Linked DNA regions of Caenorhabditis elegans. The protein of the gene in region 1 purifies or fractionates together with the protein of each later gene. This does not show direct contact. Each region holds a gene or a part of one and is shown on either strand. Other genes may lie near its edges. The genes, in order: trm-61A, metl-1, trmt-6 and mtq-2.

Region 1 (8,626 bases):
CAAATTCTACTCGATTATCGCCGAAAAATCAGATTTTTCCTTAATTTTAATGAAAAAAAAAACAAGATTTAAATTGAAATTTTTAAAATTGAATTGGAATTTTATAGAATTTTCCCACAAAAATCACATTTTTTTCGCAAATTTTTGGCTCAAAAAATTCAAAAATCTGGAAAAAATATCAAAATTTTTGAAAAAAAAAGAAAAAGGTATTTTATAAGATAAAATTCAAAATTTTCTGACAAAAAAAAATTGGCGAAAAACTCAAATTTTATTTTAAAAATATTATTACAGGAAACTCAAATTTTATAGAGGATTTTTTAGCGAAAAATTTAAATTTTCTGAAAAAAAACCATTTTTAGCGGGAAATTCAAATTTTTAAGTAATTTTTTTGGCGATATATTCAAATTTTTTGAAAAAAAAACATTTTCAGCGGGAAATTCAAATTTTCTGGCAAAAACCCCAAATTTCGCATTTTTATCCGATTTTTCTCTAGAAAATAACCAAAAATCACCGAAATTCAGCACTTTTTGTAGGAAAAAACTTGATTTTTATGTCAAAATTCCAATTTTTCACCCAATTTTCCCACATTTCCAGAACTAATCGAATTCACGGACAACGGCCGTACACGTTTCCACATTTTCTGGCGTCGACCCGATGTTTGGGCCAATATGATCTACCAATGGGCGGTTGAGAATGCATTTATCAATACACCACTCACTTTATACGAGATTACCCACGGAGATGATACTACAAATGAGTGTAGGCAGATGAAAAGCATGAAAATCCTATGAAATTTGGTGAAAATCGAGCTCAGCACCGGAAAATTTGAAAATTTAACAGAAACTCCACCAAAAAAGTTCTGAAAATCGATTTTGAGCTCAAAAACTTTGAATTTTTTCCTAAATTTCCAAAAAAAAAATTGGCTTTTTTTTTTTGAAAATTTTGACTTTTTTTCGGATTTTTGGTAAAATTTGCAAAAAGTGTCCGAATGGCTCAGTGCGAAAATGCTCGACTGGGAGAAAAATCACACCGGGGTTCGAGTCCCCACTGTGGTCGAAATATTTTTACTGGCTTTTTTCGCATGTTAAAAGACTAAAGACTAAATCAAATGCGCTGAACTCGAAAAGCGATATATAAAATTCAAATTTTTTTTCAGCATTCCACAATTTGGAGCGTGAAATTCTGATGAAAGCGTTGACATGTTTGGAAGAGCAACGACGTGCTCAATTGATGAATATCGGTGGAGATAATGAAGGCGTTAAATTTATTTGATTTTTTTTTTCTGTGGAAAATCTTGAATTTTTTCCCCTAAAATATGTAAAAATTAGAATTTTTATTATTTATTTCCACTCTTTTTTCTAGTTTTCCAATGAAGCTTCTTGCCATTTAATTATACATTTTTCGTTTTTTTTTTGTAAATTTTATTTTTTTGTTGTTCTAGACGGCTTTATGTACCTTTAATAATGACTTTTTTTATTGAAAATTTGAATTTCCGGGATTTTTTTTTCAGAAAAATTTAAAATTTAGCTTTGTTCAAAAAATTGAAATTCCCGCCAAAATTTCCATTTAAATTCGCTGCAAACGCGCTCAATAGATAATTTTGTCAGAAACCACAGGAAAATTCAAATTTCGCGCGAAAAATCGTCGTTTAATTTCGATGCAAACGCGCTCCAATGCAACTTTTTAAAAAAATCGAATTTTCTCGTTGTTTAACCCTGAAAATCCGCCAAAAATCAGATTTTCATCGTTAAAAATTAAAAATGTTTCAATTTTCTCAAAAAATGTTTTTATTTTATTTTTAAAAACAGTTTATTGCCAGAAAATGCTGAAAAAACTCAATTTTTGACGAAAACCCAAAAAATTCGCGCCAAAAAAATTAAATAGCTCTGCAAACGCGCTCCAACGCAAATTTCCTCAAAAACCCGCATTTTTAGCTCATTTTTCTTCTAAATTGCTCGAAATTTTCAGTTTTCTACATTTTTTTCAAAAAAGAATGACGTCATCACCACCGTCATTCATGTCATATGAAGATCGTATTCAAGAAGGAGATACTGTAATTGTCTATGTCACCTATGGACAAATGGTCCCAACAATTGTCAAACGGGGACAGACTTTAATGATGAAATATGGAGCACTACGTCACGAATTTATTATTGGAAAAAGGTGAAAATCGAATTTTCGAAAAAAAAAAAGGATTTTCACGGTGAAAAATCGGCTTAAAATGCAGAAAATAGCGATTTTTCGAACGTTTTGCCAAAAAATGGTCAAAAACGTCAATTTTTGAGTTAGAATTGTCAAAAAATAAAAAATAAAAAATCGCCGAAAATTCTCAATTTTTCTAAAACTCAGAAAACCAGGGTTTTTAGTCAAAAATCGCTGAAATATCCCATTTTTTTAATTAAAAATCGATATTTCTTTTCAACAATCAATAATTTTACAGATGGGGTCAACGTCTCTCGGCTACAGCCGGCTACGTCTACATTCTTCGTCCAACTTCTGATCTTTGGACTCGCGCCCTGCCACGTCGAACACAGATCCTCTACACTGCTGATTGTGCTCAGATTTTGTCGCTTTTAGACGCAAAACCCGGCTCTGTAAGTACTGAAATTGAGCTCAGCACCCCCGGAAACCCCCCTCGCAATTTTGGCTCGGCGGTGAATTGGCGCAGTGGGAAAATACACAACTGGGAATCACCGGGGTTCGACTCCCCGCTGTGGTCGAAATATTTTTACAGCATTTTTTAAAAATTTTTTTCATTGTGTAGGGTAATTCAAAGGTGTTGAGCTCGAAAATCGATATCTTAAAGTTCTGAAATTATTGGATTACACCGAAAAAATTGAAAAATAAAAAATTCCCGGAAACACTTTTTATCGCAGTTTTTTGAAAATTTTCATTATCAAATTTGAACTCAGCGACCTTGAAAAACCACGGAAGTCAATTTTGAAGCAATTTTGTTTCGGCGGCCAAATGGCGCAGTGGAAAAATTCATGGCTAAGAATTATCACACCGGGGTTCGACTCCCCGCTGTGGTCGAAATATTTTTACGGCATTTTTAAATTTTTTACATTGTTAAGGGTAATTCAAGGATGCTGAGCCCGAAAATCAATATCCCAAAGCCCATAAATTTCTAGAAAATGCTAAAAAACACTGAAATTTCCAAAATTTTCAGGTAATCTGCGAATCGGGAACCGGAAGTGGATCCTTGTCCCATGCAATTGCACTGACCGTTGCACCAACCGGACATCTGTATACACATGATATCGACGAAACACGTACTCATAAAGTTTTGGAGGAATTTAAGGTTATTTGAGCAAAAAAAAAATTTTGAAAAAAAATTTCGCAAAATTTTTTTTTTTTTGGAAAATTAATTTCAAACATTTCCAGGTTCATGGCCTAGGATCCGTGACGACGGCCGTCGTTCGAAATGTCTGCACCTCTGGATTCCACGTGGAAAACGCTGCCGACGGGGTATTCCTGGATGTACCGGCACCGTGGGAGGCAATCCCATTCGCCGCAAAATCAATTTTCCGGGCTCGTGGAGGTCGTCTAGTGTCTTTTAGGTAGCTATCAGTGGAAAAATTGAGCCTGATTAAGACTAAATGGGCCTGGGACCCGAAATATTGCCGAAAAATTTCGCTTTTTTTTTTAGCTTTTTCGGTTTTTTTTTCCAGTGAAAATCGGATAAAAATTGGAAAATTAACACAAATTTCAAACTTTTATCAAATTTTGTTCGTAACAATAAATAGAAAAGGGAAACAAAAGTTTTTTTTGGAATATCGAAAATTCAAAAATTTCGATTTTTCGAGGTGCTTAAAAAAATTTTTTTGAATTTTTTTGTAAAAAACTGAACATTTTGGTCATTTTTGTTAATTTCCAATTTTCTGCAAGAAAACAGAAAAAAACGAAAAATTTTGATTTTGTGAAAAAAACTGGAAATTTTGGCAATTTTCATAAAATTTTAATTCAAAAAAATTGTTTTTTTTTACTTTTTCGTTTATCTCAGAAAAAACCGAAAAATTTTACATTTTCCGGCGACTCCCTGCAAAAATTGAACCCGAAACCCTCGTTTTCAGCCAATTTCCCCAATTTTTGCTCCAAACCCCCGATTTTTCTTACAGTCCGTGCCTGGAACAAGTCCAACGTGCCTGCCTAGCCATGGCGGCCGCCGGTTTCGTGAGCATCGAGACGATTGAGCTCGTTCCCGAGCAGAAGAAGATCGTCAGTCAACACCGGCAGACGCTTGAAGAGTTTGAAGAGCTCGGTGATGCTTATCCGAAGGAACGGAAGAGAAATGTCGATGGAACAATCGTTGAGCAAAGGTTTGGGCATTTTCCATTGATTTCTGGCTGCTGAGATGTTGATTTTCGAGCTCAGGACCCTTGGTTTACCCTAAAAAAATTGAAAAAGAACCAATAAAAATATTTCGACCACAGTGGGGACTCGAACCCCGGAGTGAAAATCCAGGCCATCGAGCTAAAATTGTGCAAATTTTCAGCAGCTCCGCCATTCCACGTATCACAATTGCAATCGTCTATCCATATTCTCAGCCAACACACACTGGGTACCTGACTCATGCCACGATGCTCCCGGTCGCCGAATAATTTATTTTTTTAATTTGATTGTTGATTTTTTAAATTTTTGTTGCTGTTAAATTTTTTGAATTTTTGAATTTCGTGAGAAAAATTGCAAATTTCAAGCTAAAAACGGGAAAAAATCACGATTTTTGGAGAAAATCTTTTGAAAAATAGTGAAAAATATCCAATTTTAGTCAAATAATATGGGAAAATCGATTTTTGTTTTCAAAATTTCTGCACTTTTTTGGATTTTTGAATTTTATGAAAAATTGGCGAAAAATTATAGCAAAATTTAAAAGCAAATCGGGGGGATGTGGCGGGACAAAAATACGGAAAATTCAACAAAAATTCAGCAGAAACAATCAAAAAATGGGATTTTAAAGGGGATTTCAAGAGATTTTTCGGGCGAAAAACGGGGAAAATTGTGTAATTTTGATCAATTATTTCGCTCCATTATTGACAGCGAGAGCGGCACGACGTTTATTAACTCCAAAATTGACAATATGGGACATGTTGACTTCGGTTGTGGTGATTTGATCCTTAATATATGACAATTCGTTTGTCAGCTCGTCGACCACTTTTTGAACGGAGCCACGGTTTTTGTCGAGCAGTTTTCGAGCATTTTCAAGGTCATATTCGACCATTACGTTGGCTCCAAGCCAGATTGATACCTGGAAATTTCGGGAATTTTAGAGGGTTTTTCTGAAAATTGAATTATTGAGCCATTTTTAGGGCTGAAAATCAGAATTTTTAATGTTTTTCCGGGAAAAATTGCTAAAAAATTATAATTCTGGGTTTTTGGGAGGAAATTGCTTTTTAAAATACGAAATTTTGAGTTTTTTCGATAAAAATTGCCGAAAATTGCTGAAAGTTGGTTTTTTGAAGTTTTTCGCATCAAAAATTGATTTTTTTTTTGAAAAATAGCTAGAAAAAAATATTGTGAAGTTTCCCTGTGCAAGTTGACTAAAAATTCTAAAATTCAGCCTTTTTTAATGCTGAAATTGGCTTAAAATGAGGATTTTTAGGTATTTTCTTGGGAAAAAAAAAATTAAAGTCAAAAATTCAAATTTTTGCGGTTTTCAAGTGCCAATTTCCTTAAAAATGGGGTTTTCTGGCATTTTTGTGTTAAAATTGGTTGAAAAATCACATTTTTTGTGAATTTTCGAGGAAAAAATTGTGGGAACTTGATTTTAGGCGATTTTTCCTTGAAAATATCGATTTCCAGCTATTTTTCTTGAATTTTCAGCGTTTTTTCTACCTTCTCGGGCTTCTGAACAGTGGCTTTTGTGTAGACATCATCGGAGAGCAGGAAAGTCGTCTCGAACGACTCATCGGCGGCTCTTTTCGCGATTAATGTGTCGATAATGCTCAAACTGTTCTCGAATTCCGGGATTTTTTCGCTCATTCGTACTTTTTGAGCGAGCATCGATGATTCGACGTATTTGTACTTTCCGTATTTCTCACGGAGCACAACTTCGGCTTCCTCGATCGAAAGCTTCTCCTTTGTGAGCCATGACTCGACGTCTTCCTGAAAAAAAATGGGGTTCAGAGAGGAATTTGTGAATTTTCTAATATTTTTTAAAGATTTTTCACTAAAATTCCAGAAAATTTCCATAACAAACTCCAATTTTTGTTTGAAAAATAGGATTTGACATTTTTTTCCCGAATTTTTCAGTTTTGAGGGAAAACTTAGTTTTTTGAGGAAATTCTTGAGACTTCTTCCAAAATTCAATGGAAAATACTGGTTTACTGGATTTTTTCTCGAGTTTTTAGAGATTTTCAATTTTTTAAATTTTCCGACTTACAATGAGCTCGCTTTTTGGGATTCCACGTGCTGATAGACTGTCCGCTGTGTCCGACATGATTTTTCAATGAAAATTTGCGAAAAAACGCAAAAAATTCGAGGAAAATCGGTAAAAATTGAGCGTAGAAATTCCGGGGAAAAAGAAAATTCCAGTTGACGCGTTTTTCGATCCCAGTAAGTGCGCCAGCACTCGCCTTGGCGCGTTTCTCGACGAGAACCAGCGAGAGAGTGCGGGGAGACATTGAGACGCAGAGATTTTTAATGGAAAATCGCAGGAAGTAGCTGAAAATCCCTGAAAATTCAATTTTTTTTCTAAAAAAAAGATAAATTTCAAATTAAAAATATCATTAACCAAACTCTGCGTCCATCACACAAATCGGTTGCGGTGGAAAAAAACGAAATCGGATACGGTGGATGAGCGGAAGCTTCAAGTGGCCCGCGGGAAAGCTTTTGAGCTTTTGAGCACATCTTTGTGAAGTTTCTATCCGCCAAAGCCACTACAAAGACTGTATCGATGGGTATTGTGTGCAGATTTCCGGAAACCGAGCCGTATCTTTTCCAAAATTCTCATTTTTTCGCCAATTTTCTGTCGTTTAGGATGGAGATTTTTGCTTTTGTACGTTTTTTTGTGGAATATTTGAAAATTTTCTAAAATTGCTTTTATTTCTCAAAAAAGAAACTTTAAAAATCAGGTCTAAAACCCTTAAAAATGTGATTTTTCTTATATGGCCTAGAATTTCAAAAGTTAGGCCATGAATAAAATTTTCAGCATTACTCAATTCAGAGTTCTCCCCGCTGAGAACTTTCAAAAAGTATAATCAAGCCATACTTTGAAATTTTCAAAAAAAAACCCTTATGCGCCTTTAATTTTTTTTCGCAGCGAGACCCAAAACATGTCAATATGGGTGTCATTTCAAAGCTCTCAACGAGCTTAATATGATTTTGATATTCATTCTGAGAATAACCCAAGTTTTCGAAAAAATAGTTTAATATCCAAAAAAAGTATTTTCAGCTGCTATTAGAAACTTCCGGGGGTAAATGACGAGTAACTCCACCCTTCTCACTTAAATATTCCGCCTGGTGCCGGATGGCTGCCGAAATACGTCAAACTTCTATTTTAGCCCCCCGTTGCTGCTCCGTTTTTGCTGAAATTGAGCTGGAATTTCGTAGTTACTAATTTTTCGGTTCTTTAGAAAATTTCCAGTTCTCAGAGCTATTTTAGGCCAGAAAATTTTCAATAAATCATTTTTTCCAACGTGTGTGACAGGTGATGTGATTAGAAAATTTTTAGTTTTTAATCTGAAATTTTTTTTACTCCAAAAAGGTTTTTTTCAATCAATCAAATCCGAAACAATTTGAAAAACGTACTATTTTTTTGTTTTTTCCCGAAAGTTAAATTTTTTTTAATAAAAAACGTTTCGAGGACTAGCTTTCATATTTTTAAATCTAAGATTTGGCTGAACTAGGCCATTTTATCTCGGCCACGGCCGGTGTCGATTTACGACGCGTAGGGGTTCGCTTTTAATATACAACTATTTTTTGTCCTTCTGTTTCTGAAAAAAATACATCAAAATTGGAGAGCATGGTTCTGGAAATTGTCGGAGTAGGTCTCAACGCGAAAAAGGTTTAAAGGTACATAGGTATTGCGAAATATTTCGAAATTTCGAATTGGCGTGAAAGTAGCCGCTGACCTATTATCAATACTTTTGCAAAGAAGTTCAACGGCGCATAGAGTTTTCGCAAGTTGAGTTGAATAGGAATTCAGTGTTTTTTCGATTAAAAAAATCATGGCCTAACTTCAGATTTGTAGGCCACTAAGCCTTACCGCCCCTGTAACCAAACGGACACATGGTGCCAGGCTGTCCCATTACGGTTTGATCTACAAAAAATGCGGGATTTTTTTGCAAAAAAAATGTGACGTCAGCACGTTCTTAATCATGCGAAATCAGTTGAGAACTTTGCGTCTCTTCTCCCGCGTTTTTTGTAAATCTACGTAGATCAAGCCGATATGGGACACTCTGACACCATGTGTATGGATTCTCCCGGAAGATCAGAATCCCCATTAGATGCAGACTTCCAAGCTCTCGGAGCACAAAAAAATCCCAACTAAAAGTACTTTATTCCATAAAAACACAAAATCCAAAACGTTAAGTTCCAATTCGAGGCTCCACTTGCCAATGGAAGGACTTCAGTTTCTTCATGATCCGCTGGATTAGCTGGAGCTTCTGCAACCTCCGAGGGTTCCGTG
Region 2 (7,280 bases), on another chromosome or scaffold:
AAATCACTTGATTTATCAGAAAATAACATTTATTCCAGCTGAAACAATGGATAAAAACCTCAAAAATTACAAAACAATTTTTTAGTACTTTCTCCAATGTTTTAGCTGAAATTAATAGTTTTAAGATAAATTTAAATCAAGTGATTTTTTATATTTTGACACTAGAAAATGCCTGATAAAAACCTACATCAACTTCGGCGCAGTCCGTTTCCTCTTCACATGCTTCAACATAGAATATCTCCCTGTTTCAGGATTTGGTCGTTCAATTGTGTAATTTAATGAAAGTATTCTCTGTCCCATATCATCGTCTTCACCTCCCCACGCCCAGAATTGATTTGAATATCCATTAACTGCACGATAATCTGCCATTGATACTGCTAAAACGCCTCCGACAATCTCCTTGTACCACAATTGATATCCCAGATTACTGACAAAAGCTCCAAGATGACGTGGACCAGGTGGGCACGAATACGGGTTCCGATCGTCTTGTGGGAACATGTCGACGTCGTGGAAGACTACACAATCGACTCCAAGGCTTTCTGCGAAGATAAATGCAGCATTCATAATTCGGCCTTTGTTGAACAAGTCGTTTCCATACTGAAAATTTAATATTTTTATTTAAGCATTGCTTTAAAAAAATTCTTACTTGTTCAGTAACAATGAATCGAAAATCTAGCCGCTGTCGTTGAAGTATTGGAATCAAAAAGTCGATCAATCGAGTCAAGTGAGTTTGCCTTTCTCGATATGGAATTATCACTGCGATTTTATCGCGAGCCTGACAATCATCCGGTTTCCATGAGCCACCTGGGCCAAGTTCTGGATGAATTGCGTGTACTTCTCCTTCTTGAAGATTTTGAATCAAAAGTGTGGCTTGTGGAAGAGCGCCTTGAAGATCTGGTATTTTCTCAACTATTGGACAAGATCCGTCCTCTTCGGCGCTGAAAAAATAAAAAAAACGTTTAGTTTAGATTCACAATAATCACTGAAAAAACTTACATTTTAACCGGTGGCTTTGGTTTTGTGACGGCTTCTTCCATATTTAAAAATGTTAGCGTCTGTCGAGCAATTTCCAATTCAACAGGATCCTTTATATCGTGTGTTCTTTCAGCGACTCCGCTGTTTTTTGATTGCTGTACATTGACATTGACAGATCGAACTTGCTCTTCAGTCGCTGCTATCCTGGAGACTATTTAATATTTAGTATCTCACATTTATAAAAATATATCAAAAACAAACCTTCTTTCATCATTTAATGTAGAATTTCTGAGTAGCATTACATAGATTAGTGTGGAGGCGGCAACGAAAATGATAAGTCGTTTCGGAGAAAAACTACGTATTATGCAGTGTGAGGTCCTCATTTTAAGTAGCTTTTACCGATAAATCAATGCATTTGAATTCTGAAAATTGGAAATTACTTTTTGAGGGGATCAGAAAAGAAATCCGGCTGTAAATAGAGTAAATAGGTGTTGAGGGGAAAGTTATGTGACAGAATAAGAGAAAAAGAACGAATGCGTGGCTGTGAGAAGTATATTCAGAACAACTGCAGTGGTTGTCCGGTCTTTTTTGTTGTAAGTGAAGCAACGGGAATTGTTGTGAAGAAGGCGAGAGACAATGCGAAACCTAGGAGACGCCGAGAACTCCCCAACACGAAAGTTGCGCACGAAAATTGATTGCTGGCGCAAATCGAGTTACGCTTGGCGCACTTCACGATCTTCTCATTTTTTTATTTTAATTTTTTTCCTTTTATAACTTTAAAGTTAACTTTCAGTAAATATAACTTTTAAATTATTAAAATTTAACTTTTTAAAATTAAATTGCGCATTTTTCAACTACCTCAATGTATAATTTACGTAAATATTTACATAATTTACTCGTGATTTTCAGCAAAAACATGGACATAACTCCTGCGCTGACAGAAATGGAATTGGATCACAAACCTACTTGCGAGACAGTTCCAGGGTTGCCTCAAAAGAAGCATTATCGGTTAGTTTCTGAGAAAACTAAAGTTTAATATTTAATAAAAAAGGATTTCAGGCAGCGAGCTCACTCGAATCCTCATTCTGATCATGACATTGAATATCCACTGACTCCAAACCAGTGAGTAAAATTAAAGTGTTACCTTTTGTTAAATTTTGACAATTTTTAGTATGGATTGGACCAAATATTACGGCGATTACACAAAAGGACGTCAAGTGGATTTTGCAGACATCGGATGTGGTTATGGAGGTCTTTTGATGAGATTGTCACCTAAATATCCTGATAATCTGATGATCGGTATGGAAATTCGTGTGAAAGTGTCGGATTACGTAAACGAAAAAATCCAAGCACTTCGAAAGCATCACGCTGAAGCTGGTCACTACAGAAATGTAGCCGTTCTCCGATCAAATGCCATGAAATACATGCCAAATTATTTCCACAAAGGACAACTTTCCAAGATGTTCTTCCTTTTCCCAGATCCACATTTCAAGAATAAGAAGCACAAATGGCGGATCATCACTCCAACACTGCTCTCCGAATACGCTTATGTGCTTCGTGAAGGAGGTATGAGAGTGACCTTGATCGTACCAGTGATCACAAGTGCAGATAATGGAATAGGAATAGTTTCAATGATAAGAATAGCGTATCAACGGTTGAAAATGTGTCTTTGTGTCCCTAATTCTCGCCATCAAACAATATTTATCATCTAACCGCGTGGCCGTATGCTGCTGCGAGACATTTCATCACCGAACATTTTTCTTGACTTTCGATAGATCTCAGAAAACTTTCCAATCTCTGAAGCTTTAATTGTTTCAAATTTGCACGTAGGCTTCTATCTTCAATTCCCTGCCCAATAAAATTAACAATCCGTTCCATGTGTGCCACGTGAGAACTATAGCTAAGTAGAAACCTGTTCCTTTCTCTGTAGCTCTGCGCACCTACAAGTGCATTTTCCCGCTGTGCCTATTGATCTTTGTTATAACTTTTATTTTTTCAGGTATTATCTACACAATCACTGATGTCAAGGATCTACACGAATGGATGGTCAAGCATCTCAGCGAGCATCCACTTTTCGAACGGCTGACTGAAGAAGAAATGAAAAAAGATCCGATTGTGGAAATGCTCTTTGAAAGTACTGAAGAAGGACAAAAAGTGACTCGAAATGACGGAGGAAAGTGGCCAGCAATCTTCAGGCGACTTCCGAACCCGGCCTTATAATCCCCTCTGCCTACTTCCAACATTCATCAATTTTTCACGAGACTCTCCCTCCTCCTCCGAGGTTGTTATTTAACTATTTTGTTGATTTTGTGTTTTTGTCTGTTAAATGAAATCCAATTCTTCTAATAGTCTGATTTTTTGAACTTATTTCCATCGAGTTTTCAAACTCTACTTATATATCTATTAAATTTAATCAATTATTAAATTTTTAAATCGCATTTTCAGCAGATACTCAGTACTGGGCAAAATGGGTGGCGGTGGCGAAGATGAGTACGAATCACTTCCAACACACAGCGTCCCGGTAAGAATTTTAATTAATTAAAAGAGATTGACAAAATTGAAGATTTCGGCAAAAATTAACCGTTTTCTTCAAAAAATACGTGTTTTTTTTTGAGAAGTTCCATTACGAATTCGGCGCATTTTTATTAATTAAAATTTTTTTATTAAATTAATTTTCAATTAGTGTTTCCCATTCTATCACAATCTAAGATTCAGGTGCACTTGACAGCTGGAGCCCTGGCCGGAGCCGTTGAGCATTGTGTCATGTTTCCATTCGATTCGGTCAAAACGAGAATGCAATCACTTTGTCCGTGCCCTGAAACGAAATGTCCAACTCCTGTACATTCACTGATGAGCATTGTTAAACGAGAAGGATGGCTTCGACCGCTACGTGGAGTTAATGCAGTTGCTGCAGGCTCAATGCCAGCTCACGCTCTATACTTCACAGTTTACGAGAAAATGAAGGGATATTTGACGGGAAACTCCGCGGGACACAGCAATACGTTAGCATATGGAGCTTCTGGAGTTGTTGCAACACTTATCCATGACGCTATCATGAATCCAGCAGAAGTAGTGAAGCAAAGAATGCAAATGGCTTTCTCTCCATACGGATCATCGTTGGAATGTGCTCGATGTGTTTATAATCGGGAAGGTGTGGCGGCTTTCTATAGATCATACACGACACAGCTGGCAATGAATGTTCCATTCCAAGCAATTCACTTTATGAGTTACGAATTCTGGCAGCACGTCCTGAATCCGGAGCATAAATACGATCCGAAATCACATTTAATTGCGGGAGGACTTGCCGGCGGATTGGCAGCTGCTTTAACGACTCCAATGGATTGTGTGAAAACCGTTTTGAATACGCAACAAGCTGCAGAAGCTGATCCAGCAAATAGGCGAATTTTCTTGCAGGTGAGTTTTTTTGAATTCTTCGCATTTTTTTGCTATAATTGAAAAGAATGAATTACAGGCTAGGTATCGTTATCGTGGAATTTCTGACGCCGTACGGACAATTTATTCTCAACGTGGACTATCCGGATTCTCGTGTGGATTACAAGCTAGGGTCATATTCCAGGTAATGTCTAAGATTTTTGATTTTCGTGCCAAAAAATACGGTAACCGGTCTCGAAGCGATCGATTGTTTTGAATGCAAAGGGTCTGCACCTTTAAGAATTACTGTAATTCCCAACTAACGGTTACAGCGAAAAAAATTTAGATTTTTCCAGAGAAAATCTAGAATTTCCGATTTTTTATTTTTTTGTAAAAATCGGAAAACATAAAATTTAGATTTTCTGGAAAAAAAAATGTTCAGAAAAAAAAAACACAAAAATTTAGTTGCCAAATTTTTATGATATTATTCCAATAATCAAGAAAAATTTCGAAATATCAGAAAATCACAATAACAAAAAATCGAAGAACAACTTTAGTAATCCTTAAAGGCGCACACTCTGTTAAATTTAAGAAAATCGGCCGCTTCGAGACCTGGTACAGTATCCGGGCAATAGAAAAACCTCAGTTTAATAATTTTTATTCCAGGTTCCTGCAACTGCTCTCTCCTGGTCCGTTTACGAGCTTTTCAAATTCATGTTGTCTTTCGAAGGAGGTCATTCGAGTTGATAATTTTGATCTTTTCTCCAATTTTTCCCCCAATTTTTCCTCTTTTCCAAGGTTTCTCCTCATATAGGTTAGGTTCAATAGTTCTCATTTCTTTTTGTTGTTTTTTTTTCATATTACTCTCAGTTTTCTATGTTTCTTTTTTTTACAAAACACGTGTCAAACCCGTGCAGATGCCTTCTAGATTCTTTTTGTTGTGTTCTGAAAGTTTTATCGAATCCAAATGATTTCTTTGACTATCAACCTATGCGAGCATTTCTAGTGGAAAAGTGTTCATAATAATTGTATCCCATCCCTCCCTCTCTCATCCCTTTATTATTCGAGACAAAAATTCAAATAAATACATAAAAAATTAGTGTTTCCACTGAATTTATATGTTCTTTGTGCTCCGTAGTTTCACACGGAAATTTGTATCTTGTGTCTATTTCTCTCTTATCTCTCATTTTCTCGTTTTTACTGCGATTGGCGCTGATGTTCAGGCGACCGCCTCGACTTCAACGTCACTTTCTTTCTCTTTCACAATTGTTAGTGATCTTATAATGTCCACGAGGCTGAAGATTTTTCGATTTTTGGCGGAAAATGAGCGAAAAATTCTAATTGTAAAATATATCAAATTCACAAAAATCGATTTTCTTTTCGATTTGACCTTTGAAAAAAAGTTATTTTTCTTCTTCTCACGTCCAAATTTTTTAATCAAAAAGATCAATCGATAGATTACGAAAAAAGGTTTTTAAATTTATTTCTACATATTTTACAATTTTCTTCGAAAAATGACCATCGCTGGATTTTGTGCTTTATCTCTCATTCAAGATCACTGTTGTTGGACAACGCCACAGCATTGTTCTGTTGCAGAGCTTGGTAATTTTGGCATAATTTGTTGATTGAACTGCCTCTTATTACACAGATTCACAATTTTCCGATTTTTTGGTCAAAGGTTACGTATCTGGTCTCAAAGCGACTGGTTTTCCAATAGAAAGAGTGTGCGCCTTTAAAGAGTACTGTAGTTGTCAACTCGCGAATTCTCTCATAAATTTTAAAAGATAGCACTTCTGAAAAAGTTATGAAAATTGATACAGTACTCCTTAAAGACGCATACTCTTTCCCAATAAAGCAAAGCGGTCGTTTCGAGACCCGATACTGTACTTTTATGCGAAAATCGCCAAATTTTGCATCTACCTTATGATAAATCGTATATATTTTTTTTCGCTTGAATCTTATTCCTTAAATTTTTTTTGTTAAATTAAATTTTCCAGGTACCATGCCTTGCCCAACTCAAGTCTCTGGTCGCTGTGTCGCCACGACTGCCGCCGTTCTCGCGGGAGGAGCTCTTATTGGATACCTTGTAAGTTCAAGCCTTCCCCTGATGTAGCCTCTTCAATTTCACTAATTAATTTCAGGTTGGTTACAAGTTCGGACAGCGTTCGGCTCGCTGCAACTACAAGATCCAGCTCGACTCGAATAAGATCGTCGACACCGTCGATATTGAGGATATTGGAGAGAAGAAGGCATTCTGCAGATGCTGGAAGAGCGAGAAGTGGCCATACTGTGACGGATCACATGGAAAGCACAACAAGGAGACTGGCGACAATGTTGGCCCACTCATCGTCAAATCCGAAAAGAAGTAAACGTCGTCTCGACAAATCATTGATCTTCATTATCTATTGACTTCTAAATGTTCTTGTGATCGTCGAAAACCATCGGTTTTATATGATTTAGTACGGATACAGTGAATTAATTTTTAGTATAAATGACAAGTGTTTTGAATTTTATTTAATATGGATGCAATAAATAAATTACAGTAAGGCAAAAAAGTACAGAAAAACGGGGGAAAATGCAAAAGCTGAACACCCTAATGATCAATGATCAAATACTGAATCATAATCCACAATTAATTTATAGCAGAAGTTATTGAGGTTATTCAATTGAGAAATCGGCACTTCTTGATCCGTTGGCCACGTCAAATTTGGACCGAAAACGACACTCAAATTGTTTGCAGTCATCAGATTCACTTTGCTGTTTTCGGCGACTCGAGTTAGGAATTTGATGACTGTTTTCAGAAGAATGTAGTTTTCACGAGGCAGAAGCTTCACAAATTCTTTCACGGCGGCGCTTTTCTCGGTTTTCGATACTTCTGAAAGATTCAGATATTAAATAAACACTGTTTTCAATTGACTTTAAATATTTTCTCA
Region 3 (7,912 bases), 3.6 Mb from region 1:
GGATATGCAGTGCGTGCAACTTCTATAGCGCCCCCTATTTTTTTCGTATTTCGTCACTTTCCCAAACTTTTTTGAGAAAACCATTATAGCCATTCGATTTCAAATGTCAAAAAACCCCCTGCCCGAAATTTTCATGAAAAAATATCAAAGACTACGGTAATTAGGTCAAAAAGTCTGAAAAACGACCGTGCAACTTCTATAGCGCTCCCTCGAATTTTCGCTATTTTTCAATAAAATACCTAGTTTTATGAGATTTCTGAAAAGGATATAGTATTCTATATTAAGAAAAATGTTCATAAGGTCTCATTTTTCAATTTTCAACAGAAATATATTACGTGAAAACTTCTGGGATCCCAAGAGTGGCCTGAAACGCTTCACTTTGCGTTAGTGGCCAGTTCTCGGCTCCCACTGCATGTATTGATACGTAACTTGAACTAATCATTTAATTTTGTTCACTAAAGATATTTTGAAAGGTTGATATTAAATTCGGTGGAGATAGGTATGGTAGATAGCGCTGCTCATTGTGAGGAAATCAGTTTTTCTCTCTAGAACAGATTTTTGCGACGTGCCAGAGATTGGACGCGGTTCATTTCTGGTAGAAAAGCTTCATATTCATTGTTGAAATTTTTTAGTTTTTAACAAACACTTTGAAATATTAAGTTCGGATGCAAGTTCTGTGACCCCTCTGAACACTTCGACAGTTCTTTTGTCGTTCGATCTCGAATGAAACGCGCAAAACCACGGGAAACAGACCCGCCCAGTGTTTCTGCACCTGTTAATTTGTTTGAGGGATATTTCTCGAATTTTACCGATCATTTTCCAACATTTTTCGATCCGGACAAAATTTGTTTTAAATGGTTAATTGAATGGATATCTTGTCTACCAGAAAAGACGCACATCCATTCTCTGACTTGCCTCAGATGTGTTTTATCGATAGAACAACTGATTGGTTACTAGCCTTACTATTAACTTGGGCTGTCAACCTGGCCCATATTGACCAAATTTTATGACAACTTTTTGAAACATTATCAGTAAATCAAAATGAAAATTTCGGTCAAGTTTCGTATCAATACATGCAGTGGGAGCCGAGAACTGGCCACTAACGCAAAGTGAAGCGTTTCAGGCCACTCTTGGGATCCCAGAAGTTTTCACGTAATATATTTCTGTTGAAAATTGAAAAATGAGACCTTATGATCATTTTTCTTAATATAGAATACTATATCCTTTTCAGAATTCTCATAAAACTAGGTATTTTATTGAAAAATAGCGAAAATTCGAGGGAGCGCTATAGAAGTTGCACGGTCGTTTTTCAGACTTTTTGACCTAATTACCGTAGTCTTTGATATTTTTTCATGAAAATTTCGGACAGGGGGTTTTTTGACATTTGATATCGAATGGCTATAATGGTTTTCTCAAAAAAGTTTGGGAAAGTGACGAAATACGAAAAAAATAGGGGGCGCTATAGAAGTTGCACGCACTGTAGTAACCTGCTATTTAATAAGGCTGATTGGAACTCCCCTATGATCATTGATCGATGCAAGTGTTAAACTCTGGAAACGTCCCCTCAAACAACTGACCAGCTAAACGTTTTCACATGGTTCACATGTGTTTTTTCGTGCCAGGTGGAACCGGGGTGATTCCCGAAAGATGGCAACAAAAACAAAAATGTTTCTTGATTGGGCATTGATCCGATTTGTTTCAAGATTTCATAAACATTACGATTCTTCCGAAAGATTACACGATATATGAATCGTATAACAAGTCTTTTAGTAAATTCCAAGAAAATGGAAGTTAACTTAGTTAACGATTTGCATTCTTCTAGTTCAAAAGTTCTAACCGACCTCAAGTAATAGTTATAGACCTAGGCTCCTAGAAGCAATGAGAATGAATTTGAATGTTCACAAAATGACCAGTTCATCAAAACGTTACGAATCAGTTGGTCTCTATCACTTGGGAAACATGAGCGGGAAATGATGATAAAACTGTGAAATAAAACATGAGGTTCCGAATTTAAATACAAACTCTGATGGATTTAGTTATGCACTGTGGGAGTTATATGGGAAATCTAGACTAATGGGTGAACATACAAAAGTTCATTTTTACTTTCAGTTAGACAGGTGACAAATAATATCGGTTTGCGGTGTTCCAGTAAAATCATACATCAGATGTGATTATTTTCAGTTCGTATTGTAAGCTCTATGTACTGTTCAATACTTGAATTGGGAAGTAAAATCTGACGATATACTACAGTAATCCCTTTCTGTCATATTATCGAAAAAATACGATCGAACAATTTTCTCATAATTTATTTTTGATCTACCTTGTTGACTAGGCTCCTCCCCTTCCTTTGATAAAACAGCCACAACAAAATAACAACGGCATCAAGATTGGGAGCGGAGTCAAGTTCAACAGGTAGATCAAAATTATGAGAAATTTGTGCGATCGTATTTTTTCGATAATATAAGTTCATTATTACCAGGTTTTCTAAATTTAAGTCGAAATTTCAGGAACTTTTCTATTTTCGGTAAACAAAAATAATACGTTTTGAACATGTGTGATAACCGGATTGAGAGAAAAAGTTGAAAAAGATCACAAGACTCCAAAGTTCCGTGGAAAACCTCACTGATAACGTAACCTTGATCAGAACATTCGGGTATCTTTTATAACAATAATGGTTGGCAGTTGGCAAACAAGCAATCTTTAAAGATCGCCTTCACACACTTTTATTATCGTCACTACCACTTTCTATCTCTATTTGATGATTTATCGTCTTATCACAATTTTTCGAGAGACCGCCCAAATCGCGGATCGGTGGGTTGAAAGTCTTTAAAAAGCAAATAAGATGAGTTTAGGGTATTGTTAATAATTCTTTGTATGATAGAGTGGAGAATAGAAAAGTTGAGTAGAAGACGAAAAACTAGTTTTTTCTTTTGAAATGCGGCAATTATCAACAAAATATTGTTGACAAGGAAATTGATTTTTTTTCAAAAATAAAATGGAAACCAATTCAAAAATGTTATATTTACAATCTTATTTAAAGAGAAACAAATCAAAAAGATACAGAGAAATTGTTCGTCAAAGAATGATCGTTCACTAAATATCAACTATCAATTATGAACACACGTTGAATTTCATCTCGTCAGTTGATCGCTCTACAGTTTCTTCTCTGTGTACTTGTTCCTCTAAACTGTGACATTGTAATTGGATACAGAAGACACAATACACATCAAAAATTTTTCTAAAAGAAATACCAAATTTCCCATAATAATCGGTGATTTCAGAATTATTTTAATTCAAAAAATCTGAAAATAAAAAAAAATACAGAAGAGTAACCATAAAAATAAATTTTATATTAAATTTTGTTTAAATTGACGAAAAAAAGCATTAAAAAAATTTGTCCAAACTGAATAAAAATTTCCAATATTTTAAGCTATTTTTTGAAAAACTGCATTTTTTAGAAATATCGAAAGAAAAACTAAAATATTTCGGTTTTTAGTAAAAAATTTTTAAAAACCCTCACCCTGGGCTCAATTGATGTTTTTGTTTCGAAAAACATATTTCTGGGTGCAAAAAAAACATTTTTGTTGAATGCTTTTTGTCTTATTCAGTTTTTTTTCTCAAAAAATACACTTAGCTTACAGTCCGGAATCCAATTGCATCTGAATAGTCCGAGAAAGCTATTCCAAATGTTTTGAACTCAAAAACTGCCCAGTTTAAAAGTACAAAAAACTATTTCAAAAAAGATGTAAAAGTTCAACTTTAAACCAATTCAATACCTCTCCTAACAAATATTCGAATATTTGCAATCTCTCATTTTCCCTCTTTTATCACATTTTTCCCGATATTCTTTGACTACTTTATCGTTCGTTCTCTGTTGCCTTTCGTAGCCGTCTCGTCGATTTTCAATTGAATATTCAAATTTTTCAGATCAAACATGGAAACCGAACCTGCGGAAACATCACAAAAACTCATAAAAAGTGGAGAGTATCTTATCGTGCAAAAGGTATTTTTTGAATTGGAAAAAGTTCAATTTTCACATTAAAATTGAATTGAAGAACAAAATTACAGCAAAAAAAATAATTTTCAGATTGATGGCGAACAAAGTCGCATAGTCCGGTTTACTCCAAAGCAAAAGATTCTCATTGAGAAGCTGAAGTTTGTAGCCGATAGGTAAGGTTTCCAGTTCTAAAATTAATTATAATTTTCCGAATAACTTCCAATTTTCGAGCTCTTTCAAATGAAACTTTGATCACAAAAAAACCACAGTGACGTCAAAGTGCATTCTAAACATAAAACACGTGCCCCGTTTTTCAAAAGTCACATATCAATTCTCGCCCCTTGTCACTAACCGATTATAAATTTTTCTTTTTTTTCGACGATTAAAAATCGTTGTGCAAACACTTTGACAAACAGTTTGATTAATTCAAAGAAAAGGGCAGCAGACCCTACGTTCAATTGATTCAACTGATAATATTAATGGGGTTAAAGTGGTTTTTTCTATTGGAAAAGTAAACTGAATGCTCTGCAAACTATTTTGTGGTTTTTCTTATATACGTCCAAAATACCCAGAACCGTTCCTCCTTCTTTAAGATCTATAAAAATTCGAAAACTTGTAAATTCACTAAAAAAAAAAGGTTTTGGATAGATTTTAGGCCGGCACTGTATGTGGTACCCGAACAATGATGGTAAAAGATACTGTAATGAAAGAATGATATTTTCAGTGCATTTGGAAAGCCTCATGGTCTATTCGAAGTATCCAATAATCAATGCCTTCCAATGTCAGTTGATCGTCTAATTGAAGAACTTCAACTTCAAGAAGCATCCGTTGCCACCTCATCCATAGATCCTGAAGTAACAGAACCATCGGAACCATCTTTAGATCCACGTGTTGTTATCGCGCCTTCAGCACTTAAACTTGAGCCCGAACAAAAACGTCAAAAATTGGAAATGGATGCCGTATTGGAAATGAAGAAGCAAGGAGTCAGTGGACAGGAAATGGTTGCCAAACTTGTTGAAGGTTCAGCATCATTTCAGACAAGAACTGTCTTTTCACAGAGCAAATATATCAAACGAAAAGCCAAAAAACATAGTGATCGGTACGTCAGCTATTGTTTTTAAATTTAAATTATTTTTGAATTTTAAGCTTTTGAGTTTTTTATTGATAAAAGTGGGGTTTTGCCGATTTCTACTTCTGCGAATAATAATTTCAGAGTATTAATCCTCCGTCCAACCATCCGTCTTCTGGCTAAAGCTTATTATTTGAAAGATCCTGATCGTCTTGCGATGCTTCGTGCTGATCAATTAGCATTAATTCTTCAAATGGCAGGGCTTCACCATGGAAAGAATGTCGTCGTATTTGAACAAACACTTGGACTTATTACCTCTGCAGTTATTGAAAGACTCGGTGGAACTGGTGCTTGTATTCATATTCATAGGGTTTATTCTTCGAAAAAAAACATCCTTTCAAAATATATTGGTTTTACAGGGTGCGGTAGCTCAATCAATTCCCTGTGTTCATTCTATGAATTACGATGATAACACACTTTCCACATTTTTACCGGTTCGAATTAAGTGTGTTCTAGCAGGCAAACATCTGCCATATGACAATAACCGAAAGGCTGTAAATGGGGATGATGATAATTTGGAGGAAGTCAATGGAGATAAGGAACCTGAGAAAATCGAGGTAATTGAAAAATTAGGACAACGTTTTAGATGGAAATAAATTTTTAAATTTTATAGGATCAAGATCTAGAGGCTCTTGCTCGCCGAAATGATCGTTTGGATCGGGAGAAGAGAGGAATCGATTTGATTAATGATGAACAAATTCATTCTTTAATTATTGGAAGTCGTACTGTCGATCCTATCAGTGTTTTGGAGCTTCTTTATCCCAAACTGGCACCATCTGGGACGATTGTCATCTACTCTCCTCATCAAAATGTAAAAATTATATAAAATATTATCTTTTTTTCACATTAAAGTGACCAGATTACATTTTAACTGAATTCTGGCTCCAGTTACTCAAAAAACCTTTTAAAAACTATTTTCTGTTCCAGATCCTCATCTCAGCATACGATTGGTTGTCAAAGCGTCAAACAATCAATTTAGTTCTTACTGATCAAATGTGTCGTGTAATGCAAGTTCTACCTGATAGAACTCATCCGTTAATGGCTCAGCACGTCGCTGGCGGACATATTCTCACTGGAATCAAAGTTATTGACCAATAATTTATTATTATTTTTGTTATTGTTGTTTTTCTTTTTTCAGATCACCGTATTCGCATTTTATTTGTTATTTTTTATTGTTGAATTTTCCGAGTAAATTGCATATTTCCTCAATCTTTTACACTTAAAATTTAATAATATGTACAGTTCAATACTTCAATATTTATTTTCTTTATCAAACCATTATATCTTCCTGGAAAATGCCATAATTCTGACTGAACAAATATAGGCAAAAAAGTGCGCGTCACACTTGCAAATTACCAATCCACGCCATTTAGCCCCACCCACAATACCGCGCCGCATGCGTGTCAACAAGAGATTCGCCGAGCCGATAAGCTTTTGCGCGATTATCCACGTTTCTGCTAGGCTTTTGAATATTATAAATATTTGAAATATTTTCTCTTTTAAACGGTATTTTGAGTTCTAGCTATGTATATTTCAATTTAATTAATTAATTGACGGGCTTTACAAATATTTAGGTTAAGAAATTGTCAATATATTGCTTTTAATTCCCTTCCTATTACATTTTTCTTTCAAATAAGCTCAAAATTATTTACAGCTAATGGCTTATTTACGAACTAGCACCCTTTTGGTGCTCGCCACTCTTATACCTCTCGAGCAAGGATTTTATGTGCCTGGAGTGGCTCCGGTTGATTTCAAAGCCGGAGATGTGATCGATGTCAAGGTAAGAAAATCGCTGCAACGCGATTAAAAATATCATGGTCTGAAAAAAGTGTTAAGAAACCAACTTTTAAAATCTAATTTCGCAATTTACAGGCTATTAAACTGACAAGCTCAAATAATATCATGCCTTTCGAATACTACTCGGTTCCATTTTGTAAACCAGCAAATGGAGATATCCAATACAAATCAGAAAACTTGGGAGAAGTTATGAGAGGTGATCGAATCGTTAACACTCCATATGCTTTCCATATGAAGAAGAACGAACAGTGCGTGTCAGTATGCTCGAATAAATTGTCAAAAGAAAATGTCGCCTTGTTCAAAGAAAGAATTCGACAGGAATATTCTGCTCATTTGTTAGTTTTATCATATTCCCCGTTTTTTCTGTGAATTTATTGCATTTTTATAGAATCGTCGACAATTTGCCAGTTGCTACTGTTATCAATCCAGCGCAATCTGGAGACGTGTACTACGATTTGGGATACCGTCTCGGATGGATTGGCGACAATGCAAAAGTTTTTCTCAACAACCATCTTCAATTTGTCGTCAAGTACCATCAGCACACTCCAGGGCTCTACAGGTTAGTTTTTTTTTTATTAAAAAAGTATTTTATGAAACAACCAGTGTAATTTCTTCAGAGTCGTTGGATTCGAAGTCCGCCCACGATCGATCTCCGCCACGAAGAACGATGATGGAACTTGCTCGATGCCAGATGATGGAACGAAGCATGTCGAACTTGGGGACTCTGAACAATCCGTTGATTTTTCATATTCAGTAGCATTTGAAGAGAGTGATGTTCCATGGGCTTCAAGATGGGATGTTTACCTGACTACCAAGGCTGTCGATATTCATTGGTTCAGTATTCTCAACTCAATTGTTGTCGTTTTGTCACTTTCTGGTGAGTACGATTCTCATCGCACATAATAATTACCAAATTCTTGCGTTCATACTATTTCGCGTTTTACTTCTAGTAGATGAAGAAAGAGATAGCGAAATAGTATGTTTTTGAG
Region 4 (8,181 bases), on another chromosome or scaffold:
TGAGCCCCATATCGACCTGATTCGGTTGAAAACTAAAAATTCACCAATTTTTGTCGCGCGTTGCGGTCGCGCGTCGCGGTCGAAATTTGTTCAAATTCTTCAAAATAATGCGATTTTCAGCTAGTTTTCGCATTTCCAAATTGAAATTTTGCGAGGAATTCGAATTTGGCAATGAAAATCTGAAATTTTTGAATTTTGCAGAACCACCACTATCAGAACCGGAGCACGTGGAACGAGAACCCCAAAATGCAGAGGAAATTGTCGCTCACCGGATTGTTAACGACGCGATGAATGAGCTTTTCAATCAGGAATAATTTGGGAAATTTTGAGATTTTTTTGGATTTTTCGGCGAAAAATGAATCAAATTTCGGATTTTTGCAGTAGAAAATCGGATTTTCCATCAAAAATCGTCCTAAAATATAAATTTTCAATTTTTCTTCCGAAAATTCCCAGAAAATTCCCAATTTCCGAGCCATTTTTATTTGTGATGTTTGTGCCCCGCCCACTTTTTCCCACCTAATCATTCCATTTCCCGCCCCGCCCCCTTCCGCCAACAAAAATCGATAATTTAATTTTTTTTTTTCCAAATTTTTTTTGAATTTTATCAGAATTTTTGCTAGAAAACCGCACAAAAATTTCGTTATAGTCAATGGGTATTTTTTAAATTTTTTGTTTCCGATTTTTCGGAGATTTTTATCGAAATCACCGAAAAATCGATAATTTCCGTGAAATTGTGATATACCAAATTTTTATTGATTTTTTTTTCTTCGTTTCTCTGTACATTTTCACTTCATTTCCTGTTTCTTCCAATTTTCCTGATACAAATAAATTATGAATTAAATCTGAAAATAATATATTTTTGGTCGTCAACTTTCCCCAGATTTACCTAAAAACAATACTATTACTAATTTTTTTTTTTTTTAATCCTTAAAAATCGATCTGAAACTCAACATTTCTGGTTTTTATTATCAAATTCGAGTTCCCCACTGAATTTGAGGCAGAAATTCGAAACCTAGAAGTTTCTAGCTCTTTTTTGAATAATTTCGAATTTCGACCGCAACGCGCGTCAAAAATTGCTGAATTTTTAGTTTTCAACCTATTCTGGTCGATATGGGGTTCAAAATTTAGCAAATTTTGCGGGGAATTCGAATTTTCTAATTAAATTTCTCCAAATATTCGGGAGTAGTCTGAAAGTTAGAGTTCCAGTTGAAAATTTTGAGTGAAATGGACTAAAAATTAATTTTTACACATTTTCGGAGCCAAATTCGAATTCCCCATCAAATTTCAGTCTGCAACTCGAAAACTAGAGTTTTCTATCTCAATTTTGACATTTCTAGGAGTACGGTAGCGCCAAAAGTACGCAAACACCGAATTTCACGCAATTTTCGAATTTTGAGCTGAAAATTTAGGAATAGACTAAGAAAATAGCGGAGAATTCGAATTTAATTATAAAAATTTTTTGAAAATGTTTTGAATATCACTTGGGCCGAATTTTTTCATTTTTGCGACCAAAACACAAAATTTCCTATTTTTCAAAATCTAGAAAAAACGAGGATGGTCAGCAAATCCCGAAAGGAAGTATCATCTGTTTCCGTCTCGACAATTTTCCCTAACACGCAGAGACCCCCGCCGGAAGACGGGGGTCTCTGTGAGGGGTCATCGAAAATGAGCAGTCCCAAGAGATTTGGACCTTTTTTTTGCAGAAAAACACAATTTTTCTGTAGTTTTTTCCTGGAAAAAGATGTCAAGTTTAGGTGTTTTCATCGAATTTTTTTGGAAATTTCTTGCAAATTTCAATTTTTACAAAACTTAAAATTTTTCCTGAAAATTTTCATTTTGAAATTCGAATTCCCCGCCATTTTCTTAGTCTATCCCTGAATTTTCAGCTCGAAATTCGAAAATCGCGCCAAATCGGGTGTTTTGGGGGTACTGTAGTCGGTGTTTGCGTATTTTTGGGGCTACCGTAACCGGGAAAAATTCAAAATTGAGCTAGAAAGCTCTAGTTTTCGGGTTTCTTTCTGAAATTTTGCAAGTAAATCAAATTGGACATGGAAATTTCGAATATTTTAGCAATTTATCGATTTTCAGAGATTTTTGGCGTTTTTATTAAGTTCAAAAACGATTCGCAGTATTCTAAATGTAAAATTCGAATTCTCCACCGTTCAATTAGTATATGTGTAAATTTTCAGCTCAAAATTCGAAAATCGCGTCAAATTTGGTGTTTCCGGGTTACTGTAGTCGGTGTTTGCGTATTTTTGTAGCTACCGTACCCCAAGAAATTTCACAATTAAGCTAAAAACTTCTAGTTTTCTCGTCTAAAGCTGAAATTTTGCGGGGAAATCGAAACTATTAATGAAATTCTTGAAATTTGAGTTTCAGACTGATTTTCAGACTGTTTTCGGCTCAGCTCCCAAGCCAAAGATCAGTTTTTTTCCCTGTCTAGTCACCACAGCTGTCAGGGGGTCCCAAGAGATGAGCCCTCAAAGATAAATTTTCTTTGCGCAGCCAAAAAAAACTGACCGCCCAGCCATTTATTTTTGACAATTTTTAGACCGACTGGCAGTGCCAGGACTCCCAAAAAGAGGCGAAGCTTCCGTTTTGGGTCCTCTTTTTTCTTATTTTTTGCGGAGAAAAGAAAAGAGGCGTTGATTGTTTTTCTTGTTTGAAAAAGAACCAGAAAACATGAATTTTCATACATTTTCTATTGAAAATTGCCGGAAAATAAGTCTGAAACCCAAATTTTTGAAATTTTATTATAAAAATCAAGTTCCTCGCAGAAATTCAGTTTTGAACTCGAAAACTAGAGCTTTCTAGCTCAATTTTGAAAGTTTGAGAGTTACGGTAGCACCAAAAGTACGCAAACACCGACTACAGTACCCCCGAAACACTGAATTCGACGCGATTTTCGAATTTTAAGCTGAAAATTCATGGTTAGACTAAGAAAATGACAAGGAATTTGAATTTGATAATAAAAATCCGGAGAAATTTTTTGATTTTTTTTGAAATCAAAGATTGAGTCACAAAAATCTTCTGAAAAAGACCTCACAATTTTTTATTTAAATTTTTAGTTTGAAATTTGAATTCCCCGCCAGTTTCTTAGTCTATCCCTGAATTTTCAGCTCAAAATTCGAAAATCGCGTGAAATTCGGTTTTTTGGGGTATTGTAGTCGGTGTTTGCGTACTTCTGGCGCTACCGTAACCCGGGAAATTTCAAAATTGAGCTAGAAACTTCTAGTTTTCGGGTTTTAGCCTGAAATTTTGTAAGGAATTCGAATTTTGCAGTCAAGTTTTAAAATTTTGGCTTAAAAATCGATTTTCATAAGATTTTCAGCCAAAAATTTGAATTTTTTTTTCAAAATTTTTGAAATTTTTGAATTTTCTCCAATTTCTTCCAAACACTCCCAAGTGTCATATTAACCAATTTTGACCCCAAAAAAGTGCAAAATGTCCCCACAGAAAGTCTCCCAAAAGTGCAAAAAACCAGTGAAAAGCTGTCAATCTCATCATCCGGCCGCCGTCTCAGATTTCTCCCCCTTTTTTGCACTTTGCGCGTCAAAAAAGGGCGGCAGAATGAAATTCGATTAGAAATTCTTTCTTTTGTCGCCTTTTTTTCTATTTTTGGGAGAAAAAAATTTTTTGAGAAAAAAATTTTTTTTTTTTTTTGGAAATTTTTTTCCAGATTTTCTTTTTTTTTCTAAATTTTCGATTCTTTTTTAAAAAACATTTCCATTTTTTCAGATGTCAATGCCAACTCCCCAGTATCGGCTCCAAGCGATTCGAGCCCATGACGTCTATGAGCCAGCCGAGGACACGTTTCTCCTCATTGATGCTATTGAGAAGGATATTAAGGTAAAATGAGTAGGAAATTCGAATTTCTCGTAAAATTTCGGTTGGAAGCGCGGAGAACTAGAAATAATTTTGAAAATTTTTGAGAAAAAAAAATTTGGAAAATTTGGCGAACAAAAATTTACAACATTTTTTAGCCTAAAATCAATTGAAACTTTTTTTTTTGGTTTTGATAATAAATTCGAATTCCTCGCAAAAATCCAGTCTAGAATCCCAAAAACTAGATGTAAATTGCTCAATTTTGAAAAATTTTGCATTTGAGCCGCGACGCGACCGCAACGCACCTCAAAATTGCAGATGTTTTGGTTTTTAACCGAAACTAGTCGATGTGGATGTCAAAATTTCGGAAATTTCGCGAAGAATTCGAATTTTTAGTTAAAACCGTGAATTTTCAGAAAGAAATATTCTTAAACTTGAAATTTTTGCCGAGTTTTTAGTCTGAAATTTAAATTTTAAAATTTTCATTGCCGTATTTGAATTCCCTGTAAAATTCTAGTCAGACACTCAAAAACTAGAAGTCCCTAGCTCTTTTTTGAAATTTCGAGGGTTACGGTAGCGCCGAAAGTACGCAAACACCGACTACAGTACCCCCAAAACACCCGATTTCACGCGATTTTCAAATTTTGAGCTGAAAATTCAGTTTTAGACCAAATAAATGGCGGGGAATTCAAATTTAAGGATGAAAATTCGCGGAAAAGTTTTTGAACCAGTGAAAAATCTGAAAAAAATCCCGAAAAACCTCAAATTTCCAGGAAATCCGATCTCGCGACCCCAAGCTTGTACTGGAAATCGGATGTGGTTCGGGAGTCGTCTCGACGTTCGTAAATCAGGCTCTCGGCGGAAATGTGACGTCAGTGGCGACTGACTTGAACCCACACGCGTTGGATGTGACACTGGAGACCGCAAAGCTCAATGATATTAAGATTGATGTGGTTCGTACGGATTTGTTTGCAGGATTGGAGAATCTACTTGGGAAGGTTGGTAAAGTTAGAGAAAAATTTGAAAAGTTGAAAAAAAATCATAAAAGTCGAAGGCTTTTGAAGAAAATTCCTCGAAAACTGGTGTCCACAATTTTTTATCAGAATTTTCATTATCAAATTCGAATTCACCGCTATTTTCTTAGTCTAAACCTCAATTTTCAGCCCAAAATCCGAAAATTGCGTAAAATCGAGTGTTTTGGGGTACTGTAGCTGGTGTTTGCGTACTTTTGACGCTACAGTAACCCTCAAAATTTAAAAATTGAGCTGGGAAGCTCTAGTTCTCGAGTTTCTGACTGAAATTTTAAGAGGAATTCGAATTTACAATTCAAATTCAGAAATTATCAAGTAATTTTGACACGCGCTGCGGTCGCGTCGCGGCTCGAAACTCGAAAATGTTTAAAATAACGCTAGAAAAGTCTAGTTTTTTTGCAACTTATTTAGAATTTAATGGAGAATTCAAATTTCTAATGGAATTATAAAAAAAAGAAATCTCAGAATTTATAGAAAATGTCTCCCGGTAACACAATTTCCGTGATATTTCTCGTGTTTTTATGTAAATTTTTGAACTCTCCACAAAATTCCCAAAGTTTTGACACCCATATCGACTAGATTCGGTCAAAAACCCAGGGTTTTGGCTTTTTAACGTGCGTTGCGGTCGCGTCGCGGCTCGAAACTCGAAAATCTTCAAATTTAAGCTACAAACCTCTAGTTTTCGATTTTCTCACTGATTTTTCGCAGGGATTTCGATTTTGCCGATGAAAATTTAGGTTTTCTGAGTTTTAGCGACGAAAATTTTCTTTTTTTTCCAAATTTTTATTTTCCAGGTAGACGTGCTCCTCTTCAACCCACCGTACGTCCCTACTGACGAAGAGCCCAAATCAAACATCGAATTGACCTACGCTGGCGGCCGAACCGGTAGATCAACGCTCGATCGTCTTTTGCCACGTGTCCCCGAGCTTCTGTCCCCACGTGGTGTCTTCTATCTCGTCGCACTTCACTCGAACGATATCCCGGCACTGCTCAAAGAGCACTCGGAGCAAATGACGGTGTCAGTGTCAATGGAGCGCCGTTGCGGCATCGAACATTTGTATATTTTGAAATTTGTGATGAAGGAGAATAATGTTAAAGCGGCGCCACTTGCGGAAATTGAATAAATTTGTTGTTTTTCTTGGATTTTCGATAAAATTCACGGAACTTCAATAAAAAATCTGAAACCACTGCATAATTTCAGTTTGTATTCGAGAAAACTAGACGTTTCTAGCGATAATTTGAAAATGACCACTGCAAGGCCGCGACGCGACCGCAACGCACCACAAAAACCTTTTTATTGACGAATTCGAATTCTCCACTATTCAATTAGTCTCTCCATAAATTTTTAGCTTAAAATTCGAAAATCGCGTAAAATCGTGTGTTTGGGGGTACTGTAGTCGGTGTTTGCGTACTTCCGGGGCTACAGTAACCCGGGAAACTCCAAAATTGAGCTAGAGAGCTCTAGTTTTCGAGTTTCAGGCTGAAATTTTGCAAGGAATTCGAATTTTACGGTGAAAATCTAAAATTTTGCGATTCAGATCATTTTTAGACAGTTTTAAAAAACTAAAAAAATTCTGATCTGCTTAAAAACTTTTTGCCACATTTTCCAAATCTTCTCAATAGCTCGAATGTGATTGTTCCTAATTTCAAATAAATTTTCAAATGTGAAATCATCTTCTGACTTGAGTTTTCAGTCAGTTTCTAGTCACTTGTGACTTCCAGGCCACAGAAAAGCACAAGAAGCACACACATTTTTGTGCGATTTTGTGTGGAAAGTGACCAAAAAGTCAGTAGCTGGCTAGAATCACAGGCTACTGATAAGAAAATGACTTCATCAGTACAAATTGAACTGATTTCTAGCTTATCAGTATACGAGTATTTAAGTTGAAAATGAGAAAGGAGGAGTAGTCTACACATAATGTCTATAGCCTGGAGTTGCTTTGTTTTAGGGCTTTTTGGTGAGTTTTTGATTTTATAAACTTAAAAAAAAAAAATTTTCCAAAAAAATTTAGAATGTTTTCTATTTTTTTCTTAAATGTCCACTAAAAAATTTAATTTTCCACTTCATTTCTAGCTAAACACAAAAAACTAGACCTCTCTAGGTCCATTTTGAAGATTTTAGTATTTGAACCGCGACACGACCGCAACGCACCCCAAAATCCTAAAATTCTTGGATTTCATCCGAATATAGTCGATATGGGTGTCAAAACTCAGCAAATTTCACCAGGAACTTGATTTTTATTACCTAAAAAAGTTACGATATACCGTTTTTCCAAAAAAAAAACTTTTCTTTAATTTATCTTTAAAAATTTTTGAAAACAATATTAAACAATTTTTTCAGCACTCAATTCGAAAGCCAATTCAACTCAAAATTTTAATATTAATACAAAAAACTAGACCACTCTAGCTCCATTTTGAAAATTCCCATATTTGAGCCGCGACGCGACCGCAGCGCACCCCAAAATCCTATAATTCTTCGATTTTGTCCAAATATAGTCAATATGGGTGTCAAAACTCAGAAAATTTCATGACTAATTCGAATTTTTCAACGAAAAATTCAAATTTTTCAGCCCTCGCCTCCCTCCAGGTGGCACTCGCCAATGATTGCGCCCAAAAAACCTTCAAAACCGGAATTGTGTGTGTCTGCAACATAACTTATTGCGATGAGATCCCAGATATCAACTTACTATCCGGGCAGGCTGCCACATTCACAACTTCCAAATCCGGAGCCCGACTGCATCGGGATGTGGTTTATGCGACAAATAGTGACCCTTGTAAGCAACTTTTTTTTTGAAAATTTTTACCGTAATCTCAAAAACTACAGTAACCAGCATGCACTTCACAATTGACTCGTCAAAAACATATCAGACAATCCAAGGATTTGGCTCAACGTTTTCCGATGCTTCTGGTGCGAATTTGAAGAGCTTACCCGATCAGATGGCTGATACAATTCTGAGACAGTATTTTTCGGATTCTGGTAAGTTATTCGATAGAAAATTCAAATCTCTACAACTTTCCCTCTTGAACCAACATTCTAGGACCAATTTGAAGAAAGTTATAGCAATAGTTCAATGGAGCGCGTTTGCACCATCGAAATTTTTTGCCAATTTTCAATTCCTTGTAACTTTGTTCAACGGAAAGCTACGAAGTTGGTGCAAACTGGAAAATAGTAGATCATAACATTTTCTATCGATTGACATAAATTTTGAATAAAATCTGTGAGGTTTTGCAAGTGCGCTCCATTGAAATTTGGCTATAACTTTGCTCAACGTAGTAATAGAGCGTTGGTTCAAGAAGCGAATATGTAGAACATTAAAATTTATAT

The links.
Region 2: the proteins of trm-61A (region 1) and metl-1 fractionate together in Caenorhabditis elegans (co-fractionation; one large-scale study listed by BioGRID). This does not show direct contact.
Region 3: the proteins of trm-61A (region 1) and trmt-6 fractionate together in Caenorhabditis elegans (co-fractionation; one large-scale study listed by BioGRID). This does not show direct contact.
Region 4: the proteins of trm-61A (region 1) and mtq-2 fractionate together in Caenorhabditis elegans (co-fractionation; one large-scale study listed by BioGRID). This does not show direct contact.

What each region holds. Positions count from the first base shown.
Region 1 is NC_003279.8:12,726,065-12,734,690, reverse strand, and holds trm-61A (tRNA (adenine(58)-N(1))-methyltransferase catalytic subunit TRMT61A), read left to right. Parts: upstream 1-1,968; 5' UTR 1,969-1,993; coding exon 1,994-2,163; intron 2,164-2,440; coding exon 2,441-2,594; intron 2,595-2,961; exon of another isoform or gene 2,962-3,033; intron 3,034-3,169; coding exon 3,170-3,301; intron 3,302-3,384; coding exon 3,385-3,560; intron 3,561-4,118; coding exon 4,119-4,319; intron 4,320-4,495; coding exon 4,496-4,601; 3' UTR 4,602-4,665; downstream 4,666-8,626. Other genes in the region: vps-25 (Vacuolar protein-sorting-associated protein 25), read left to right, coding at 595-759, 1,157-1,272; pfd-3 (putative prefoldin subunit 3), read right to left, coding at 5,015-5,245, 5,833-6,102, 6,380-6,436.
Region 2 is NC_003280.10:11,468,174-11,475,453, reverse strand, and holds metl-1 (tRNA (guanine-N(7)-)-methyltransferase), read left to right. Parts: upstream 1-1,878; 5' UTR 1,879-1,891; coding exon 1,892-1,983; intron 1,984-2,034; coding exon 2,035-2,097; intron 2,098-2,146; coding exon 2,147-2,541; intron 2,542-2,974; coding exon 2,975-3,195; 3' UTR 3,196-3,319; downstream 3,320-7,280. Other genes in the region: ngat-1 (Beta-1,4-N-acetylgalactosaminyltransferase), read right to left, coding at 188-597, 647-938, 997-1,179, 1,237-1,358; slc-25A37 (Mitoferrin), read left to right, coding at 3,443-3,496, 3,685-4,389, 4,436-4,552, 5,014-5,094; cisd-1 (CDGSH iron-sulfur domain-containing protein 2 homologue), read left to right, coding at 5,862-5,949, 6,345-6,433, 6,489-6,716; rga-1 (Rho GTPase-activating protein 68F), read right to left, coding at 6,948-7,222. UniProt on the Caenorhabditis elegans protein: Catalyzes the formation of N(7)-methylguanine at position 46 (m7G46) in tRNA.
Region 3 is NC_003279.8:9,140,392-9,148,303, reverse strand, and holds trmt-6 (tRNA (adenine(58)-N(1))-methyltransferase non-catalytic subunit TRM6), read left to right. Parts: upstream 1-3,927; 5' UTR 3,928-3,934; coding exon 3,935-4,003; intron 4,004-4,087; coding exon 4,088-4,170; intron 4,171-4,721; coding exon 4,722-5,096; intron 5,097-5,210; coding exon 5,211-5,436; intron 5,437-5,485; coding exon 5,486-5,683; intron 5,684-5,739; coding exon 5,740-5,937; intron 5,938-6,053; coding exon 6,054-6,224; 3' UTR 6,225-6,333; downstream 6,334-7,912. Other genes in the region: ZK858.6 (Transmembrane 9 superfamily member), read left to right, coding at 2,672-2,674, 2,707-2,811, 6,781-6,906, 6,999-7,258, 7,312-7,482, 7,541-7,800.
Region 4 is NC_003280.10:2,185,015-2,193,195, reverse strand, and holds mtq-2 (Methyltransferase HEMK2), read left to right. Parts: upstream 1-3,738; coding exon 3,739-3,849; intron 3,850-4,598; coding exon 4,599-4,823; intron 4,824-5,650; coding exon 5,651-5,980; 3' UTR 5,981-6,047; downstream 6,048-8,181. Other genes in the region: Y59C2A.2 (Membralin), read left to right, coding at 202-314; gba-2 (Putative glucosylceramidase 2), read left to right, coding at 6,775-6,814, 7,427-7,630, 7,681-7,833.